3 linked regions of the Macaca mulatta genome follow. The protein of the gene in region 3 interacts with the protein of the main gene of each other region in a pairwise test. Links are inferred from orthologs where the notes say so. Each region holds a gene or a part of one and is shown on either strand. Other genes may lie near its edges. The genes, in order: CEBPE, ATF4 and CEBPG.

Evidence for each region.
Region 1: the proteins of CEBPG (region 3) and CEBPE interact in a two-hybrid assay, tested with the Homo sapiens proteins (2 studies listed by BioGRID and IntAct, with this or other methods). The link is inferred for Macaca mulatta from reciprocal best matches to the Homo sapiens genes CEBPG and CEBPE.
Region 2: the proteins of CEBPG (region 3) and ATF4 interact in binary tests that used the Homo sapiens proteins (3 or more experiments, as listed by UniProt). The link is inferred for Macaca mulatta from reciprocal best matches to the Homo sapiens genes CEBPG and ATF4.

Annotation. Positions count from the first base shown.
Region 1 is NC_133412.1:96,210,380-96,216,809, reverse strand, and holds CEBPE (CCAAT/enhancer-binding protein epsilon), read left to right. Parts: upstream 1-2,345; 5' UTR 2,346-2,868; coding exon 2,869-3,378; intron 3,379-4,147; coding exon 4,148-4,483; 3' UTR 4,484-4,667; downstream 4,668-6,430. UniProt on the Homo sapiens protein: Transcriptional activator. C/EBP are DNA-binding proteins that recognize two different motifs: the CCAAT homology common to many promoters and the enhanced core homology common to many enhancers.
Region 2 is NC_133415.1:12,019,829-12,025,928, reverse strand, and holds ATF4 (cyclic AMP-dependent transcription factor ATF-4), read left to right. Parts: upstream 1-2,158; 5' UTR 2,159-2,832; coding exon 2,833-3,058; intron 3,059-3,159; coding exon 3,160-3,989; 3' UTR 3,990-4,072; downstream 4,073-6,100. UniProt on the Homo sapiens protein: Transcription factor that binds the cAMP response element (CRE) (consensus: 5'-GTGACGT[AC][AG]-3') and displays two biological functions, as regulator of metabolic and redox processes under normal cellular conditions, and as master transcription factor during integrated stress response (ISR).
Region 3 is NC_133424.1:44,671,723-44,678,317, forward strand, and holds the start of CEBPG (CCAAT/enhancer-binding protein gamma), read left to right. Parts: upstream 1-2,189; 5' UTR 2,190-2,355; intron 2,356-2,575; exon of another isoform or gene 2,576-3,073; intron 3,074-4,338; exon of another isoform or gene 4,339-4,464; intron 4,465-6,595. UniProt on the Homo sapiens protein: Transcription factor that binds to the promoter and the enhancer regions of target genes. Binds to the enhancer element PRE-I (positive regulatory element-I) of the IL-4 gene. Binds to the promoter and the enhancer of the immunoglobulin heavy chain.

The sequences.
Region 1 (6,430 bases), on a different chromosome or scaffold from region 3:
TTCACAGCCATGCTCAGCTACCTTCCTACTGGGAAAGTCTTAATTCACCAAAAAAGTGGCACTGGAAGGAGGCCTGTTACAAAGTCACTAAGATAACAAACATGCATCATTTCAGTTCATCCAAACAGGTAGTAACTGCAGTGGCAAAGGAAAAATGATCCTGCTGACCCGGGAGAGCTTCTTTCCTCTCCTGAGCAAGCATCCCCCAGCCACTGACTGGCACTGCCCTCCCCACCTCCCCTTCCTGTCCAGAGCTCCCCCTACCCTACCCTGACATCCAGAGCCCTGCCTGCCCCAGCCAAACCCCTGTTACTGGGAAACACTGAGGTCAGCGTACCAGCAACGTCAGCACTAGCCGGGGAGGCCGGGGCAGAGATTTATCTCACCATGGCTAAAGCTGCTGACTTTCTCATTTCCTGCGGCTCTATTTACATACCTCCCACTTCCTCCTGCGCAGCTACTGATGCAGACTTCCCCCTCCCCATGGTGGCCAAATGAGTGCCAGGAAGGTTCTCCAAGTCACATAGCAGCCCCTTCCCATCCCTTCAGCCAGAGATGAACCAGGCATCCTCCTTGGATGACCTTGGGCAGCTCAGCCTCTCAGCCTTGTTATCCTTGTTTATAAAGTAGGAATAAAAATACTGTCTGCCTTGCCTACCTTCCTGCATAACCCATAGGCAAAGAGCATGAAAAAGTGTATGTTTCAAGGATTGAAAAAGCATTAATTTATCAGAAAGCACAAGGCCTATTCATTATCATTATTTCAAAGTAGCGGAGGGGACAGAATTTCTCCTCATGGAGACAAGGCCCTGGACGCAGGACTTGCAAGCTGCTTATTCTCCCTAGAACTGCACTGCAAGACCCCATCCCAGCCAGGTCTCCTCTTCCTCCTTCCAGACCCCCCGCAGGAGCTTGCTGAGAGCCAGAGCTGTGAGAGGCTGCCCTCTGCTGTCCACCTGAGTCCGGACCACAGCAGCCCTCCAAGTCCGAAATATTGGGGCCAATATTGCCACCTGGTGGTCAACAGAAGCACTGCCACCAAACTGAGAGCTCAGCTTTGAAATGGAGAAATCTCCCTAATTCCTGACATCTGTCTCTGGGATGCACACAGATCTCCTCATACCAGGTCACTGTGCTTTCAGAGAAAGCATATCTGGCTGTGTCTCAAGTCATGCACAGACAGCATCTAGGGTAGGTGTTGGGGTAGGGAGGATGGAAGGAATATGCTAACCAGAATACACATTTTTAAAATTTTAATGTTCAATGCCACACACATCCTCTCTGCACTTGTCCCACTGGGGCCCACTCACAGTGACCCAGCCCTTGTTTGGCCCAACTTACAAAAACTTCTGGCCCCCCTGGGGCACCCAGAGTACTTGCTGGTCATAAAAGAGACAGTAACATTTCTATGTGCCCTTTCCTCCCCCCCACCCCCACCCCCCCCTCCGCTGGACCTTTTGGAGATGAAATTCAACAGGTAAAAGCAGGACCTGAGCAGGTGTCTCTGAAAGGAGGCAGTTGGGAGTTCCCAAAGGAAAGAGAAAAGGGAAGAGGAGAGCCAGCACAGAACCAAGAATTGCAGATAGAGAGCCATGGGCTTCTCCTGGAGACCCTAAAACAGAGCCCCAGGAAGAGGTGATGACATAAGAGGCTTCTCAAACCTCACAAGAGGAAGTAGACCCAAGAGACACGCATTGGAGATCAGAGAGCAGCCATGCAAAAGGAAAGACAGCAAACGAGCTGCAGCAAGCTCCTGAGCCCTGCAGCCCAGGGCACAGGAAACCAGAGGCAGAGCCTCAGGCCCAGGGTGAGGGGCAAAGCGCCAGCCTGAGCCTCTTGCAGCAGAGAACAGCTGGAAGAGAGAAGTGCTGGAGCCACCGGAGGATTATGGCTGTCTATTCCAAGGGCAGCAGCCTGCCTGGGCCTGCAGTGCAAGGCCCAAGTCCTGACCAGGTGCTTCAACCAAGCCCAGGGAGTTAGGAACTGTGCCAGGCTGCTACAGGTAGCTGGGGCTGGAAACATACTCATATTTGGGCTATTGCACAGCCCCTGTGCAAAAACCTAGCAAATGAGCGTACTCTCTCCAGCACCATGCAGGCTCCCATGTATAGCTTGTTCCTAGGACCTATCACTACTCCCCAGACCCCTCAAAAACAAACCAAAACAAAACAAAACCCTGGCCTACACTCAGAGAATGCTCTGGGAGGTGAGGCCACAAAAGAAACTGTCTCCTGGGAGTAGGTGGAGCCCAGCATCAGGGGAGAGCCAGAGGAAGGCATGTCAAGGGAGGAGCTGAGACCCAACTGAGGGTCGGCACTGGAAGAGGGCTTTCTTCACTCTAACCTGGAACCTCATTCTGCGTAGAACTTTTTCACAGTTGGAGGGAGGAGGACGCTCAGAGTAGGGTGTTGCCCTTGGTGAGGATTTGGAGTCCCCTGGGCTCAGGAGGGAGTGGACAGGCATTCCCAGAAGCATCAGCTTCTGGCATCTCCAGAACCCTGGCTTGGACCCTGACCGAGGAGTGTCCCCAACTGCTGAATAGGCCAGGAGTCGCCTTTCTCTAAGGCTTACATCTCTCCCTCTGGGGTGTGTCCTGCCCCTCCCTGAGTCACCCCAAGGGGAGAGAGGGGAAAAAAGGGAAGAGAAGAGAGGCATTGACTACAGAGGAAGGAAAAGGAAGCAGAGCAGAGGGGGGAGAGAGGCCACACAGGAGTGGGTGACAGAGGAGACTGCAGAGGGCAGGTCTAGGGCAGGAGATCGAGAGAGGGCAGGCCCAGGTCAGGAGGAGGTAGAGAGAGGGCAACCCGAGCACCCCAAGGGGTGCCTCAAGAGCAGGTGGGGGCGGGGAGCCGAGGGGGCGGGCCGGCCATGTCCCACGGGACCTACTACGAGTGTGAGCCCCGGGGCGGCCAGCAGCCACTTGAGTTCTCAGGGGGCCGAGCTGGGCCCGGGGATCTGGGGGACATGTGTGAGCATGAGGCCTCCATTGACCTCTCTGCCTACATCGAGTCTGGGGAAGAGCAGCTTCTCTCCGATCTCTTTGCGGTGAAGCCAGCGCCTGAGGCCAGAGGCCTCAAGGGCCCCGGAACCCCTGCCTTCCCCCACTACTTGCCGCCTGACCCTCGGCCCTTTGCCTACCCTCCACATACCTTCGGCCCAGACAGGAAGGCGCTGGGGCCTGGCATCTACAGCAACCCAGGGAGCTACGACCCCAGGGCTGTGGCGGTGAAGGAGGAGCCCCGGGGGCCAGAGGGCAGCCGAGCTGCCAGCCGAGGCGGCTACAATCCCCTGCAGTACCAAGTGGCACACTGTGGGCAGACAGCCATGCACCTGCCCCCAACCCTGGCAGCACCCGGCCAGCCTCTGCGCGTTCTCAAGGTAAGAGCAGGTCAGCCCTCCTCCCTCCTGCCCCGGGCTGGAGAGGCTGGTGTGGACAGGACCCTGTGCCCCTGCTCACGCTGCTGAGTCTGTGCTTGGTGTTGCTCTGTGAAATGGACCCAACCCACAGTCCTCTGTGCTCACACCGCACCATGACCTCCCTTTCCTTCTCTGTGAATTCATTCCCACCCTGAATCCCCACCATGTCCCAAAGACCCTGCGGCAAGCTGGCCTACCTTGATCTCAGGCCCCCCACCACCAGCCTCTCTGCTGCTCACCATGCCCCCTCCTCTTGTTTCTCTGCCGCCTGCTTCTGTAAGAAATGTCTGCTGGTCATAGAACAGGAGACTCAAGACAGATTGAGGGAAAGTGTACTCAGAAAGTGTGAGAACATTGGCTGGGTGCAGCGGCTCATGCCTGTAATCCCAGCGCTTTGCGAGGCCAAAGCAGGACGGTCGCTTAAGGCCAGGAGTTGGAGACCAGCCTGGGCAACATAGCAAGGCTCCATCTTTACAAAAAAGAAGAAAGAAAGAAAGTGTGAGGACGTGAAAGGGAGTTTTGGTCTCAAGCAGAGAACCCTGTGCATCTGGGTCACCATCTCCCAGAAGCAGGGTGATGATAGTTTTGACCTGAGAGACAGGAGCTGGCTCTGAGTCCTGTATTCCTTCGATGCAGCAAGTGTGCCCTGGCTGCAGAGATTCTCGTCCCGCCTTCGCTCTGCCTCCTGGCCAGCCCTCACCTCTCCGTCTCTCCGTGCCTTCCCCTCCAGGCCCCTTTGGCCACTGCCGCACCGCCCTGCAGTCCCCTCCTGAAGGCGCCCTCCCCCGCTGGCCCCTTACACAAGGGCAAGAAGGCAGTGAACAAAGATAGCCTTGAGTACCGGCTGAGGCGGGAGCGCAACAACATCGCAGTGCGCAAGAGCCGGGACAAGGCCAAGAGGCGCATTTTGGAGACGCAGCAGAAGGTGCTGGAGTACATGGCAGAGAACGAGCGCCTCCGCAGCCGCGTGGAGCAGCTCACCCAGGAGCTAGACACCCTCCGCAACCTCTTCCGCCAGATCCCTGAGGCGGCCAACCTCATCAAGGGCGTGGGGGGCTGCAGCTGAGTCTGGCTGGTGGACTTTGGGCACCAGGCTCCGTGGCACGGCCTGACTCTGCGAACCCCCATCCTGCTGGGGGCCTAGAACCCTGAGACATAGACCATGGATAAATGGCAACCGGGGTGGCAAGGAAGGGCAGGACCCAGCATAATGATTATGTGGCTGAATAAAGTTGCACTGTGACTGGGTGTTGGGACTGTTGGCTCTGTGTGTGTGTGTGTGTGTGTGTATGTGTGTGTGTGTGTGTGTGTGTGATGGAGGACCCTGGGGACAGAGGATGCATGTGGCTAGGTCTGCACCTCTTGTTTCCATATCCAAATGGACATGTGGAAACACAGACATGCTGTCCACAGCCAGCCCCCTACATGCTACACAACCAGACCATGTATCTGCCACTCTGCTTTTCTCTCCCTGACATCCCCATCACCCGCTTCTGTGATCTGAAGGCACATCCCCGCCCCCCGCAGGACCTGGAGCAACCTTTGTATGCTCTGCTAACAAAGATCTGTAGCTTGTAGGGAGATCCTGGCACCACACAGTCCTTCATGCCCAGGCCTGCGGCTCCCAGGTCCACCCTCTCTCACCTCGAAGTATAGGTCTGGGAGCTCCTGCCCCAGGTGACCACGGGAAAATTCCTGATGGCTCTGCCATATTTATGGTCCCTTGATCCAGCCTGCCATCTCTTCTCTCCAGTTCCGATGCCTCAGTCTACCAGATGGACACCCTCCCAATGCTGCTCCCACCTACTCATTTCCATCCTTTGTCCCTCATCCCTGGGGCTCCAGTTCCGTAAAGCTTGAGAATTGAGTGCATGGGACAGGAATCAGTTGGGAGAGACCTGGAAAGCGGATTTGTGTATGAGAACACTGGTAATGAGAAGGAGGATGACAATCTGCCTGTGCCAGGGACACCCCTCACTCAAAGCAGCATTTTCTTTGGCATTGGACTCCAGCCTAAGAGACAGATGGTACAGTAATTAAGAGCCTCAGTTTGAATCATACTCTGCTACTTACTAGCTGTGAGCCTTCAGCCATTACTTCTCTCTGTGCCTCGGTTTCCTCATCTGCAAAATGGTAGCAATATTCGTACCCACTCTGTAGTGTTATATTCATAGAAAAAGAAAACTTTGGCCGGGCGCGGTGGCTCAAGCCTGTAATCCCAGCACTTTGGGAGGCCGAGGCAGGCGGATCACAAGGTCAGGAGATCGAGACCACAGTGAAACCCCGTCTCTACTAAAAATACAAAAAAAAAAATTAGCCGGGCGCGGTGGCGGGCGCCTGTAGTCCCAGCTACTCAGGAGGCTGAGGCAGGAGAATGGCGGGAACCCGGGAGGCGGAGCTTGCAGTGAGCCGAGATCGCGCCACTGCACTCCAGCCTGGGCAACAGCGTGAGACTCCGTCTCAAAAAAAAAAAAAAAAAAAGAAAAAAGAAAAAGAAAACTTTGCATGTAATAAGCATATTTATGACGATTCCTCCATTTTGCTGGAACTGAAAGGACCTCGGAGATCTCATCTAAACTGATTTTGTAGGTAAGAAAACAGGCCGCAAAGAGGGGAAGGGACTTACCTGGAGTCACACAATTGTTTAGAGGCAGAACCAAAATTAGCTCCATAAAATCACAGATCTCAAGATGTGCTGGAAGAGACCTCAAGAGATCATCGGCTCTGCCCTCAGACCAGCAAGATAGGGTGAGCCACATTTTATAGATAAAGCAGTTGAGGGCCAGAGGGGGTAAGAGGCTTCTCCTGACACTCACTGAGTCCCTTTGCTGCCTCGGTACATGGTACCTCTCTCTCTACTCCGTGCGACGCTCTCCTCACAGATACTCAGTTTGAGTGTCACATGAATCACATTCAGTAAAGAACAGTGCTCAACAGTATCAGGGAGCCAGGGACAGATTAAGGACTTGTTAAAGTCTCTCCTAGGCCAGTGCTGGGAAAGCCTGAGTCAGAC
Region 2 (6,100 bases), on a different chromosome or scaffold from region 3:
AGCCACTGCTCCTGGCACCAATTCTGTATATCTCAACTCTCATGATTCCCCAAAGAGAAAGAAAAACCATACTTTTATTCCAGCATCCGGTATGCCTTGTGTATACCTGTATACAAGTTTTAAAGTTGTTGGTTTCATCTCATTAAATAATAGTTAAGAGTCCTCTGAGGCAGCAGGAGGATGTGGAGAGTAGCACAGGTCAGGGTCAGGTGACCTGAGTTCTATGAAGGGTAGCAGCAATAGCAACTATTATTGGGTGCTTACATGTACCAGGCGCTATGCTAAGTGCTTTACATGTATGACTTCACTTCATGGGGCAAGGATACTCATCAGTAGTCTCATTTTACAAATGAGGAAACCGAGGCTCAAAGAGGATAAGTCACTTAGCCAAAATGTCCCAGCCAGGATTCTTTTGGGTGAGCTCCCCAAAATTTGTCTTCTAACTCCTACCCTATACTCCCTCCACTGGGAGCTGTGCGACTTTGAGCAAGAAGCTTCATCCCATTGGGCCTCGGTTTACCATTGGAAAGGACTTGTGAGCGAGGTTGAATGAGCGCAGCAGATGGCCTGTGGTTATTTAGAGCAGTGCTTCCCTGGTTGTTTGGTATCACAGCGATCATAGAAATACTTGTGTGGCCCGGTGAAATGGAGGCGGAAACTCAGTTTCTACCTTCACAGGGCCTGACTGGAGGGGGCTGAGGACGATGCGGAGGTTTCCTGTATTAAAACAGACTACCCCCCCTTCCCAACGCACAACCCCGAGCACGTGGCCGTGGGTTCCCAAGCGCCTCTCCTCCCAGGGCCATGGGCATGACCACCGAAAAGCGGGTTAGGCCGGGGAGTTCAGAACCCGGAGTGAATCGAAACTACCCCAGGTAGATGGCAGCGAAGAAAATTCTGTTCTTAGGGGAACGCAATCTTCGGACACCAGAAGTTCCCCTATGATGCTATTCTGTGGCAGCCTCGCACTTGAGCCGGATGAGAATTGTAAAAACCCAGGTTGGGAGACAGGACGGCGCGTCTTCCCGGCTCCTTTCCAGAGTTTAGACGGAGCCATGCAGACTCAGCTGGCCTTTGGGTGTAGGTGGGCAGGCCCGAGGCGCCCTCTCGAGACCCCTTCAACCTCCCGGGGGCAGCAACACCGTATCGGCTATGAATGGCGTCTCTGGAAAACTCAGGCTTGGAACAGGTAACCCCCCGGTTTCCGCAGGCCAGAAATCAGCCCCCGCAACCGAAGGACGCGCAGGCTGGGAGTGGCGGCGGGGCCGCCAGTGGCGGACCTCCACTGAGGGCGGCGGGACCCGACCGCAGGGGCTGGGCCCTGAGGCCACTATGGGGTGCGCTAGGCTAAGGTCTCCTGGGGGCAGGAGCCAGTGCGATTGTAGCTGGCCAGCAGGCTGGCCGGCCTGAGGCCTGGCAGAGACCCGAGACCCCGACCCTTACCACGCGGACTCCGTGATCCCTCTCCCAGCAGCCGCCCACCTGGGGCCCTGAGCCAATAAGAGCTCGAGGTATATATGACTCACCGTGCCTGGGCCAATCAACTTGACGCGCGCTCTTCGCCAGCACCTCGCGCGATAACCTGGCTTCCTCGGCCTTCACAATAAAAACTCTCCGCCGGAAAACGACCTCTCCCCGCCCACCGCGCCGACACCGGAAGCGAGGCGTGTCTGCGAGATCACTCCGCGCTCCGGCGGCGAAGGAAAGAACGGACTCTGATCATAGAAGTCTAGTAAAGTAGTGCACCTCTCTCGTTTCGTGAGGTCATAAGAACAAACACCTTTTCTCGTCACAGCTACGCGCTGGGCATAAACGGTTGGGGCGTCAAAGGGAGGGAAACGAGCGGGCGGGAGGAGATGGTCACGTGGCCGTGGCGGAAGGATGCGTCGGTGCTGCGTCCCCTTAGAGACGAAGTCTATAAAGGGCCGGCGGGCGGCTGCTGCGGCCATTTCTACTTCGTCCGCCCACAAATGTAGTTTGGTTTGCACGTGTGCGCCTTCCCTCCTCCCCGCCCGCAGGGTCCACGGCCACCATGGCGTATTAGGGGCAGCAGTGCCTGCGGCAGCATTGGCCTTTGCAGCGGCGGCAGCAGCACCAGGCTCTGCAGCGGCACCCCCCCCAGCGGCTTAAGCCATGGCGTGAGTACCAGGGCGGGTCGTCCAGCTGTGCTCCCTGGGCCGGCGCAGGATTTGGGTTGGTGGGGTGCGGCCTGGGGCCGGGGCGGTGCCGCCAAGGAGGAAGCGATTTTACGAGCGCCCGGGACGCGTGGTCTTTGCTTGGGTGTCCCCGAGACGCTCGCGTGCCCGGGATCGGGAAGGCGCATTCTGGTGCCAGGACTGCTTCCACAGGGGCCCTGCCGCCCTCGGACCCCGAGTCCCCCAAGGGTCCCAGGGGTCTCGGCTTTCCCCCCCGCGAAACGTGGCAAGAACCAAGATGGCGGCGGCAGGGCGGCGCCGCGGGCGTGAGTCAAGGGCGGGCGGTGGGCGGGGCGCGGCCGCCCTGGCCTTATTTGGACGCGGGGACGGAGCGCCTTCCTCTTGGTGGCCGGTGGAAGAATCGCCTGGTCTCCGTGAGCGTCCATTTTGTGGAACCTGAGCCGCAGCAGGGAGGGGCGGATGCAACTGCCCCGTTGCCGACTCTATAGATGGCTGGACTAGAGAAGTCCCGCCTCGTAAGTGGAAAGATGAAATTCTCAGACCAGCTAACCTCTAATGGGAGTTGGCTTCTGATTCCCATTCAGGCTTCTCACGGCATTCAGCAGCAGCGTTGCTGTAACCGACAAAGACATCTTCGAATTAAGCACATTCCTCGATTCCAGCAAAGCACCGCAACATGACCGAAATGAGCTTCCTGAGCAGCGAGGTGTTGGTGGGGGACTTGATGTCCCCCTTCGACCAGTCGGGTTTGGGGGCTGAAGAAAGCCTAGGTCTCTTAGATGACTACCTGGAGGTGGCCAAGCACTTCAAACCTCATGGGTTCTCCAGCGACAAGGCTAAGGCGGGCTCCTCCGAATGGCTGGCTGTGGATGGGTTGGTCAGTCCCTCCAACAACGGCAAGGGTGAGTGGGCCACCACCACATCGTCTGGGTGGGATCTAGGGTTAGGGGCCTGTTATCTTTGTATCTGACTCACTTGGCCCTGTCATTCAAATCTTTTGCAGAGGATGCCTTCTCCGGGACAGATTGGATGTTGGAGAAAATGGATTTGAAGGAGTTCGACTTTGATGCCCTGTTGGGTATAGATGACCTGGAAACCATGCCAGATGACCTTTTGACCACGTTGGATGACACGTGTGATCTCTTTGCCCCCCTAGTCCAGGAGACTAACAAGGAGCCCCCACAGACGGTGAACCCAATTGGCCATCTCCCAGAAAGTTTAACAAAACCCGACCAGGTTGCCCCCTTCACCTTCTTGCAACCTCTTCCCCTTTCCCCAGGGGTCCTGTCCTCCACTCCAGATCATTCCTTTAGTTTAGAGCTGGGCAGTGAAGTGGATATCACTGAAGGAGATAGGAAGCCAGATGCCACTGCTTATGTTGCCATGATCCCTCCGTGCATAAAGGAGGAAGACACCCCCTCAGATAATGATAGTGGCATCTGTATGAGCCCGGAGTCCTATCTGGGCTCTCCTCAGCATAGCCCGTCTACCAGGGGCTCTCCAAATAGGAGCCTCCCATCTCCAGGTGTTCTCTGTGGCTCTGCCCGCCCCAAACCTTACGACCCTCCTGGAGAGAAGATGGTAGAAGCAAAAGTAAAGGGTGAGAAACTGGATAAGAAGCTGAAAAAAATGGAGCAAAACAAGACAGCAGCCACTAGGTACCGCCAGAAGAAGAGGGCGGAGCAGGAGGCCCTCACTGGCGAGTGCAAAGAGCTGGAAAAGAAGAATGAGGCTTTAAAAGAGAGGGCGGATTCCCTGGCCAAGGAGATCCAGTACCTGAAAGATTTGATAGAAGAGGTCCGCAAGGCAAGGGGGAAGAAAAGGGTCCCCTAGTTGAGGGTAGTCAGGAGCGTCAGTGTGCTTGTACATAGAGTCTCTGCTGTTGCTGTGTGTTGGAATAAATTATTTTGTAGGGAAAGTACTTGTGTGAATTCCTTTTCTGGCAAATTAGCCGAGTGAGGCGCCAACCACGCATCCCAAACTGGTTATAACATTCCTTGTGAGATCTGGGGAGGAGGGCAGTCCAGGACTGAAGATGGGTACCCAGAGTGGGAACTGCTCGCCCTGCTAGGTGTAAGCCACGATGTCTGATGACTCATGGGGCCATACAGCCGGATAGTTGGCCAACTGTAGCAAGTTGGGTCCTTTACCCAGAGGTGAGTTCGCTGGTTGTGTAGGGAGGAGGCTGGAGCTCTCTGAGAGGTTGGGAGGGAGGGACAGCCTGGGCCTCTTACCTATTTATTCAAGAGGGCTTCATGCCAACAGCTGTCGCCTGAAACCCTGGATAAGCTTGCACAGTCCTTGAGATAAGCACACAAGATTAGTTTTCACTTGTTACCCTGAGTTCTGTAGAAACGTGTTCCTGAAGAAAGAAATGGCTCCTTTTCGGAATTGATGCTGAAGCAGGACAGGAGCTGAGGGTTGGCCTCCGTTTCTCCTTATGGGGTGGAAGGATGACATCCTGCACAGGTTCTGGCTAGAGCTGGGCACAAAGGCTACAGTTCCTGTGAAGGCTGTTGTGCCTGTTGCTACCTAAATAGAAGGCCTGGCATCATGCTAGGATGGATCAGCGCCTAGAAACCACGCCTCCTCACCGCAGCTTCTTCCTGGCAAGCTGGCGGGGAGACCTCGCCTTTCCAGGCAGGCGATGTCTTTTGTGTTGCGGATGAGTGCTTGATTTTGTGTTGCGGATGAGTGCTTGAATGCAAGGATCAGCGTATCCTGGGTAGGTCTGTCTTTCCTCTTGTGTCCTTCAGGATCACAGTTTTCCTTCTGTGGAAGGTGGTGTAGACTGGGTGTGCCCGGGGAATGGCTGGGAGGACAGTGAGGGTGAGTGCGCCCAGGCACTGCTGTAACTGAGCACAGTACGTGTGTTCACCCCGTCCCCGAAGCACACCCAGGAGGCAGACGCCACACTCAGGAGGATTTTTTTTTTTTTTTTTTTTTTTTTTTTTTTTGAGACAGGGTCTCTCCCTGTTGACCAGGCTGGAATGCAATGGTGCAATCTCGGCTCACCACAACCTCCACCTCCTGGATTCAAACGATTCTCATGCCTCAGCCTCCCGAGTAGCTGGGATTACAGGTGCTCGCCACCATGCCCAGCTAATTTTTGTATTTTTAGTAGAGACGGGGTTTCACCATGTTGGCCAGGCTAGTCTCGAACTCCTGACTTCCTGATCCACCCACCTTGGCCTCCCCAAAGTGCTAGGATTACAAGCATGAGCCACCGCGCCTGGCCTTTTTTTTTTTTTTTTTTTTTTTTTTCTTTTTAGAGATTGAGCCTATTCCCCAGGCTGGAGTGCAGTGGTGCAATCTTGGCTCACTGCAACCCCTGCCTCCCAGTTTCAAGCGATTCTCCTGCCTCAGCCTCCCGAGTAGCTGGCATTACAGACGACTGCCACCATGCCCAGCTAATTTTTGTATTTTTAGTGGGGATGGGGTTTGTCATGTTGGCCAGGCTGGTCTCGAACTCCTGACCTCAGGTGATCCGCCCGTCTCGGCCTCTTAAAGTGCTGGGATTACAGGTGTGAGCCACCACGCCCAGCTCACCCAGGAGGATTTTGAGCAAAGAGGTAGAGCTGGAATTTGAAGCCAGGACTCGGGCTCCAGTCTGGGCTCTTCATTTTGCCTCTTGAGCTGGAAACAAATGGCCCGTCATGACCTTTCCGGTGCCCAGTATAGACGGTCACCTGAGAGCCAACTGTTGACGGAATGTATGCAACTGCTTGTGGAGAAGTTGCCCGAGGCACCGCTGGAAGTGGGCATCACACATGGGTCTTGGACCTGGTGCTCTTCGAGGTCTTTCCTGCTGAGATTCTAGAATTCTCCAAAGGCCATGGGCCTCCATCCACATCCAGGTACTAAATAGGCGTTAGGGTGCGGCCAACAGCATCAGAGTCATCTAGTGCCAGTGGGGGTCGGCCCTCATTTGGCAGATGAGAAAC
Region 3 (6,595 bases):
TTTTTTTCTTTTCCTTTTTTTTTTTTTTTTTTTTTTTGAGATGGAGCCTTGCTCTGTCACCCAGGCTGGAGTGCAGTGGCACGATCTCAGCTCACTGCCAACCTCTGCCTCCCAAGTTCAAGCAATTCTTCTGCTTCAGCCTCCCGAGTAGCTGGGATTACAGGCACCCGCCACCACGTCCAGCTAATTTTTGTATTTTTAGTAGAGACAGGGTTTCACCATGTTGTCCAGGGTGGTCTCAAACTCCTGACCTCAGGTGATCCACCCGCCTCGGCCTCCCAAAGTGCTGGCATTACAGGCGTGAGCTACTGCGCCCAGCCCCCTTGTACATTTAAGTGATTAGGAAATATTCAGGGTAAAATTATGATTTTGTGAGCAATAAATCACAATCCTATTTTAATACCACTAAAATCTTGATCAAAGCAAGTTCAGGCAGGACTTGGTTACTCATGCCCATAATCCCAGCAATCTGGGAGGCCGAGACAGAAAGATCACTTGAGCCCAGGAGTTTGAGACCAGAGTGGACAATATGGTGAGACCTCATCTCTACAAAACATTTTTTAAAAATTAGCTGGGTGTGATGGTGCATGCCTATAATCCCATCTACTTGGGAGGCTGAGGTGGGAGCATGGCTTGAGACCAGGAGGTCGAGGCTGCAGTGAGCTGTGATCAAGCTGTGACGGTGCCATTGCACTCTAGCTGGGGCAACATAGCAAGACCCTGTCTCAAAAGAAAAAAAAAAAGAAGTTTCTTTTTCAGCTCAGAATACGAGAGCCAACGTGAAGAAACACACTTGTTTTGACGACGCTTACTCTCCCAAGTGTGGATCTGTGAGCATTATTCCTTGTTTTTTTTTTTGGAGACAGGGTCTCATCCTGTGGCTCAGGCTGGAGTGCAGTGGCTCAGTCTCAGCTCACTGTAACCTCCGCCTCTCAGGCACAAGCCATTCTCCCATCTCAGTCTCCAGAGTAGCTGGGACCACAGGCACAGCGCCACCACACCCGGCTAATCTTTGGTATTTTTGGTAGAGACAGGGTTTTTCCATGTTGCTCAAGCTGGTCTCTAATTCCTGACCTGAAGTGATCCAACTGCTTCCGCCTCTCAAAGTGCTGGGATTACAGGCCTGAGCCACCGCACCTAGCCCATTGTTCACGTTTGTGACCCCTTTTAATTTTTATTTATTGCTTTATCATCTTACTGATTCCTCGAAACAATCTTACGGGGCGAGCCGGTTCCATGGGCGCTGAAGAAACATTTCCTCTTTCAAAGCCTCAATTTTTTGAACGATACGCATTGCTAAAGAGGAAGCAATCAAACCTATCAGGCGAGCTCTGCCCTCCGCCCAGCGAGCTGCTGCTTCCTGGTGTTAAAACGCTTTCGGGTCCTCCTGGCGAGTTTTAAGTCACACTGGATCGCTGCTCATTTTCAGAGAGCACCTCGCACCCATTCACCTGGAAGGCACCCAAGGGGAATCGATTTAGGAAATTCACTTCATGTCACCCTAACAACAAAGCACAGCCTGCAGCTTTCACCCATGTGACATCAATGCTAATCCTATGTGCGAAACATTTGGGTTCATTCGATTTTTTAAAAATTAGTAACAGAGATGGGGTCTCGCCATGTTGTCCAGGCTGGTCTCCACCGCCTGGGCTCAAGCCGTTCTCCCGCCTCGGCCTCCCTCGGCGCTGAGATTACAGGCGGGAGCCACCGCGTCAGCCTCCTCTCGTTTTTCGGCGACAGGGCCAGCCCGCCTGCGGGAAGTTCCGTTCGGAGAAACTCTGTGAGGGACGCCGCGGGGGCTCCCAGGGGACGCGGCGAAATCAAAACAGTCACCGGTGGTTCACAAAACTACCTCAGGAAATGCTTCCAAAGGCAGGTCTGGCCTTCACAAGGCGACGGCTCTTCAGCCTCCGACACGAACCTGAGTAGTCCACAGCACTGGGCCGCAGCCAGCCCGGGCAAGCCGCCGAGCGACCGCGGACGCCGTAGCGAGCAGCCGCCTGCTCCCGCCACACCCGCCGAGCCAGCCGCGCGGAATCCACGCCCCCGCCGTGTGCCCGCCTCCCTCCTCTATCCGGCCCACGATTGGTCGGGTGGGGTGCCCGTCGCGAGAGAAGGCGGTGCCTCCCGCAGGCCGGCGCTCCCATTGGTCAGGATGGCGGCGACGGCGCGCGCGACCCGGCGACGAGGGGAAGCCGGTGGCCGCGGCTGCGGAACGGGCGGAGGCTGCCGGTTTCGTAACCGTCGCTCCTCCTCGCTGACTCGCGGGCTGTGAGGCCTGGGTCGGCTCGGGCCGCACCGCGCGGGGCCGCTCGGAGTGGAGGCCGCCTGGGGGCAGGCGGGCTGGAGGAGCAGGTAAAGAGGCCGCGGCGGGCGCCCTGAGATCGGGGAGGAGGAGGCCGCGGCGGTGCCGGCCGCTCGCCTGGGCGCGGGCCCGGCTCGGGGAAACCCAGCCCCGGCCCCAGAAGGCTGGCTGGCTCGGGAAGGCCCCGCGAGGCTGGAGGCGCGGGCGGCGGCGCCGCGCGGCGTCTGATGCAACCTGCCGGCAACACCCGGCGGCGGGGACGCTGAGCTCATTCCTGGCCGCGGCCCAGCGCCGCGGCGCCGCCCGTCGACCCCCGCGCTGCCCGGGGCGCCCCTCGCGGCTGGCCGAGAGCGCGCGAACGGCCGGGGAATGCCCCCTGCGGAGCCCGGCCCCCTCTCGGTGAGACGGGCGGTGTGACCGGCCAGGCTTGCATTGGCCCCTGGGGATGAAGGGTGTTCCCAGAATAGCAGAAGGTGGACCGAATCGAGCTTTAGAATCCTGCTCTTCTAGAAGGGCTCAGCTTGCGGTGATCGAAAATCTGTTCAGAAGTTCAAAGACTGATCAATAAAATAGGGAAAGCAACTAGTTTTTAAATGCATGACTTCGCAGAGATAATATTTTGCTTTGTGGAGCTGTTTGAATGTCCTGCACTTTACTGTTGAACGTAGTTTAGAAGAACACGCAACACCCACGGGTCAAATAGAGAAGAAATGAAGCACTTCGCGGGCATGGTTGGAGGGAGCGGAGCAGGGCAAACAGCCAGCAGAGGTGTCCAGATGCGGAGGATGGAAATACATGTGTGTGGGGGAGGAGAGTCTGTTTTCCAGGGTAGCTGGTGTGTTGCTTCTCTTCCCTAGGTTTACTGTTTGGTTTTCCCCTTGTTTGAGGTTTATACTGTAATCTGGCATCCTGAAATGTATAAGATTTAGAAAGGTCTCAGTGTTGATGGGTGACACCAAAATTGGTAGTTGTGTCAAAATTGACTGCCTGTATGAATAGGTTGTCACTTAAGGCAGACTTCTCCCATAGATGTGTGACTCGCCGAGAAAATTTTAAAAGAAAATCCTGTAAGGGCTTGCTTTACGAAGACATTCTACATCTAGAAGCTCTTGATGTTTAAGATGTGATCATCTGTTAGCCCTTGAGTAGTATTTGGGATAAGCCGTTCATAAGGTCAGTTCTGCTTCTGGAAAAAGTTGCTGTAAACAAGGCTTAAATAATTACAGGGTACCCAGGAGCTGAAGCATATTTCAGCTTCTTGATTCCTGCTTCTGGTGGGCACACTTGGCTGGTTTAGTTATTTTTAATACCTGCTTTAAAAAAAGTAGGGGGAAACAAAACATTGAGAATATCCTTTAAATTCTCAAGAGCACATCATGTCTGTCCGCAAGGCTGGCTGATCTTGGAGAGATGGTTTCATCTCTGGGAAATTAAACACTATGTGCTGAGCCCCTGGTAAAGACAAATAGGACCTCATGGGGCTGAATTTGGTCTTATAGTCTAAGATTGCCTCACTTGGTCACAGTAATGGTAAGTACAGGTAGCTACGATTCCAGGTGTATTGTGCATTCTTGGGAGGGCTGGTTCCATGGGTGGTTGTATTGATAGGTACACTGGCCTCCTGCGTTTGTGGCTTTCTAGCTCTATCAGTAAAAAAAGAAAAAAATGAGCATGAGCTCCTAATGGTTGTTTATTTACAGTCTATTTGTTTTGTGTGTTGTAAATCACTTCAAAAGGATTGGGTTAGAAAGATGATGTTGATGTTCTTCTCATGCCCCAGTGACCCACTTCTGTACTCCCAGAAAGGGGACGTCCCCTCCCTCATGGACCCTGCAGTAGATGCATGTGAAGATCCGCAGGGAGACACGACGTGGCTGGAGTTGACAGACCTAGGGAACAGATCTTCCCAGATGCCCAAAGAAAAGAGAAAGCACAGACCATTTAGGATACAGATAGTGGTTTAGTACTGTCAAGATGTGGTGTGAGGGAGGAGAGAGGGTCAGGACCTTGGATTTGATCCTGTAGACTGGAGCCAGAGATGAATTTTCAGCAGGAGAGTGACTCACTCAGGTTTGAGTGTTCATTGCTCTGGAGACAGAGGTTGGAGGAAGCAGGCTAGACCAGAGACCAGTGTCCCTGAGAGATGATAGTGACCTGAGGTGAGTTCGATGGGATTGGGATGGAGAGGAAGGGTAGATGGGAAGTTTTTTTGTTTTAGGTGGAATTGTCAAATCCCAAAGACTAAATAGAGTTAGGACCAAGGAGAAACATCTATGACTGTTTTGAAATGTTGACCTTCATTGAGGAAACTGAGTGAAAAATTTATTTTGGTGGGCAAGGGGAGGAATATTGGATTCTAGGTGTGTGGAGAAAAGGGACAAAAGCATTGGGAAAATTCTTAGTAGGTTTATTTCCCCAGGTGAAACTTCAGAAAAATTTGATTTTGTTTTACTCATTCTAACATTGTGTGCGCTTTCAGTGTGACTGACATGAACGAACATTACTTGAATTAAGTTTGAATTGAAACAAAGCCTATTATCCAGTTAGTCCACCATTCTCAGTATTCATTGGGAATCAACAGCAGAGACCCTCAGACTTCAGTGTCATCAAAGTTACTTGGAAGTCTCCTTATGAAAAGATTGCTCAGCCCTGTTCTTAGAACTCCGATTCTAAGTCTGGGGCAGCCTGAGAAGTTACATTTCTAAAGAGTTCCTGGATGATGATGATGCTGGTCCAGGGACCACACTTTGAGAGCCACTGCTCTTCAGCGTTCCTGCTGTTTCCTACTTGAGTGATTCACATGGAAGGAAGCCAGGCGCCACCCTGCTTCCTGTAGGCTGAACTTTGGAATAGTGTTTGTCCACAGAGGAGCCGGACTTGAATTTAGGACTCAATGTCCAGCTTTGAAATAAACACTTTTTGCCTGTTGTAGCTGTTCAGTAAATGTGTGTGGAAGGAACAAAGCATAAATGAGAGTGGCCTTTTCTGTGTAAAACCTCTTAGCTCTTTGATCCCCTTTTACTTGGTTAATTTTCTCTTCACTTTAAGAGCTATTTATATGGTTTAAGAACTTTTTAAACAAAACAGTCTCGGAGTTATTTTGATTATCTCCAAGTTTCTCTTTCTTACATTTTCACCAGCTTGTAGGTTCAGTGAATACTCTTTTCACGCCAAAGGGCTTACCTTTAAAACCTCGCCTACCACACACGTTCAGCCTAGTACCTTGCAAGATGAGTCAGGCAGAGGTGAAAGAGCCCTTCCCTGTTCCTGTATCTTTGGATATGGAAACAGGCATGAACGTCGCTGAACTTGGACCCTGTAGTGAATAAGAGCTGTTAGTGACTGAAGGTCGTGGTGTGTTGTCTGTAGAAAAGTGTCTTACTATTCCACATCCCTCATTTACATATGGGGAATAGACGCCCACGGAAGAAAAGAGATTTACCCATACTAAAATAGGGGGAGCCATAGCCAAGACAAGAACTGGCCTGGTCACCGGTCTCTACCGTTTTGGATCGTTGCTATCTCTGAGCATGGCCACATTGACTGTAGAGAGCTTTAAGGGCTAAAAATATAATTGGTATATAAAAAAGTAGAGAAATAAGGTGAACATGATTATGATTGTTAAGACAGTCTCAGGAGAGGTGTTAACCAAGTTCTTAATAATTGAGTCAAGCACTTCTACTCACTTGACACCAGATAGATAAGCAATAATAATGTTAGGTGGCACTAAGCATGGCTCAGATTAATACTGAACAGCCACTTTGCTACTGAAAGGAAAATGAGGCAACCTAATAAGGATCAAAGGAAACTGTGAACTGTCTGTTACTGAAGATAGGCTTGGAGTGGATAGCCTTCATCATTTGGAGGGACGCTTTCTGTCTTGCCTTAGTGCTGGAGTGAGAACAGATGACCTACTAGCTCAGGGCCGGCTGTGTGGCTTTGAAAACAATGGAAAGTAATGACACATGGACTTTTTAAAGCAAAGATGTTTTTTAAAAAGAGACCAATAAACTGTGTACAGAATTGCCTGGCTAAAGGTTTGGATGTAGCTACTGGTGTTGGCTAACTGAGCTTTCCCTCATTGTGGGATCACTGTATAAATCTGACTCCAGATTTTTTCCACTGATGTAATTTTAGCAGTTTTGTGAAAAGAGAACAGGATAGGTTTATGTTCCTAACACTGCTTTCTAAATGTCTAAGAGTGCCTTGACACCTTGGTGGACACCGTTCACTGAACTGAGTCAGTTGATGTTGAAGCGGCCTCCTGATGATAGGATAGTCACGCTTTTA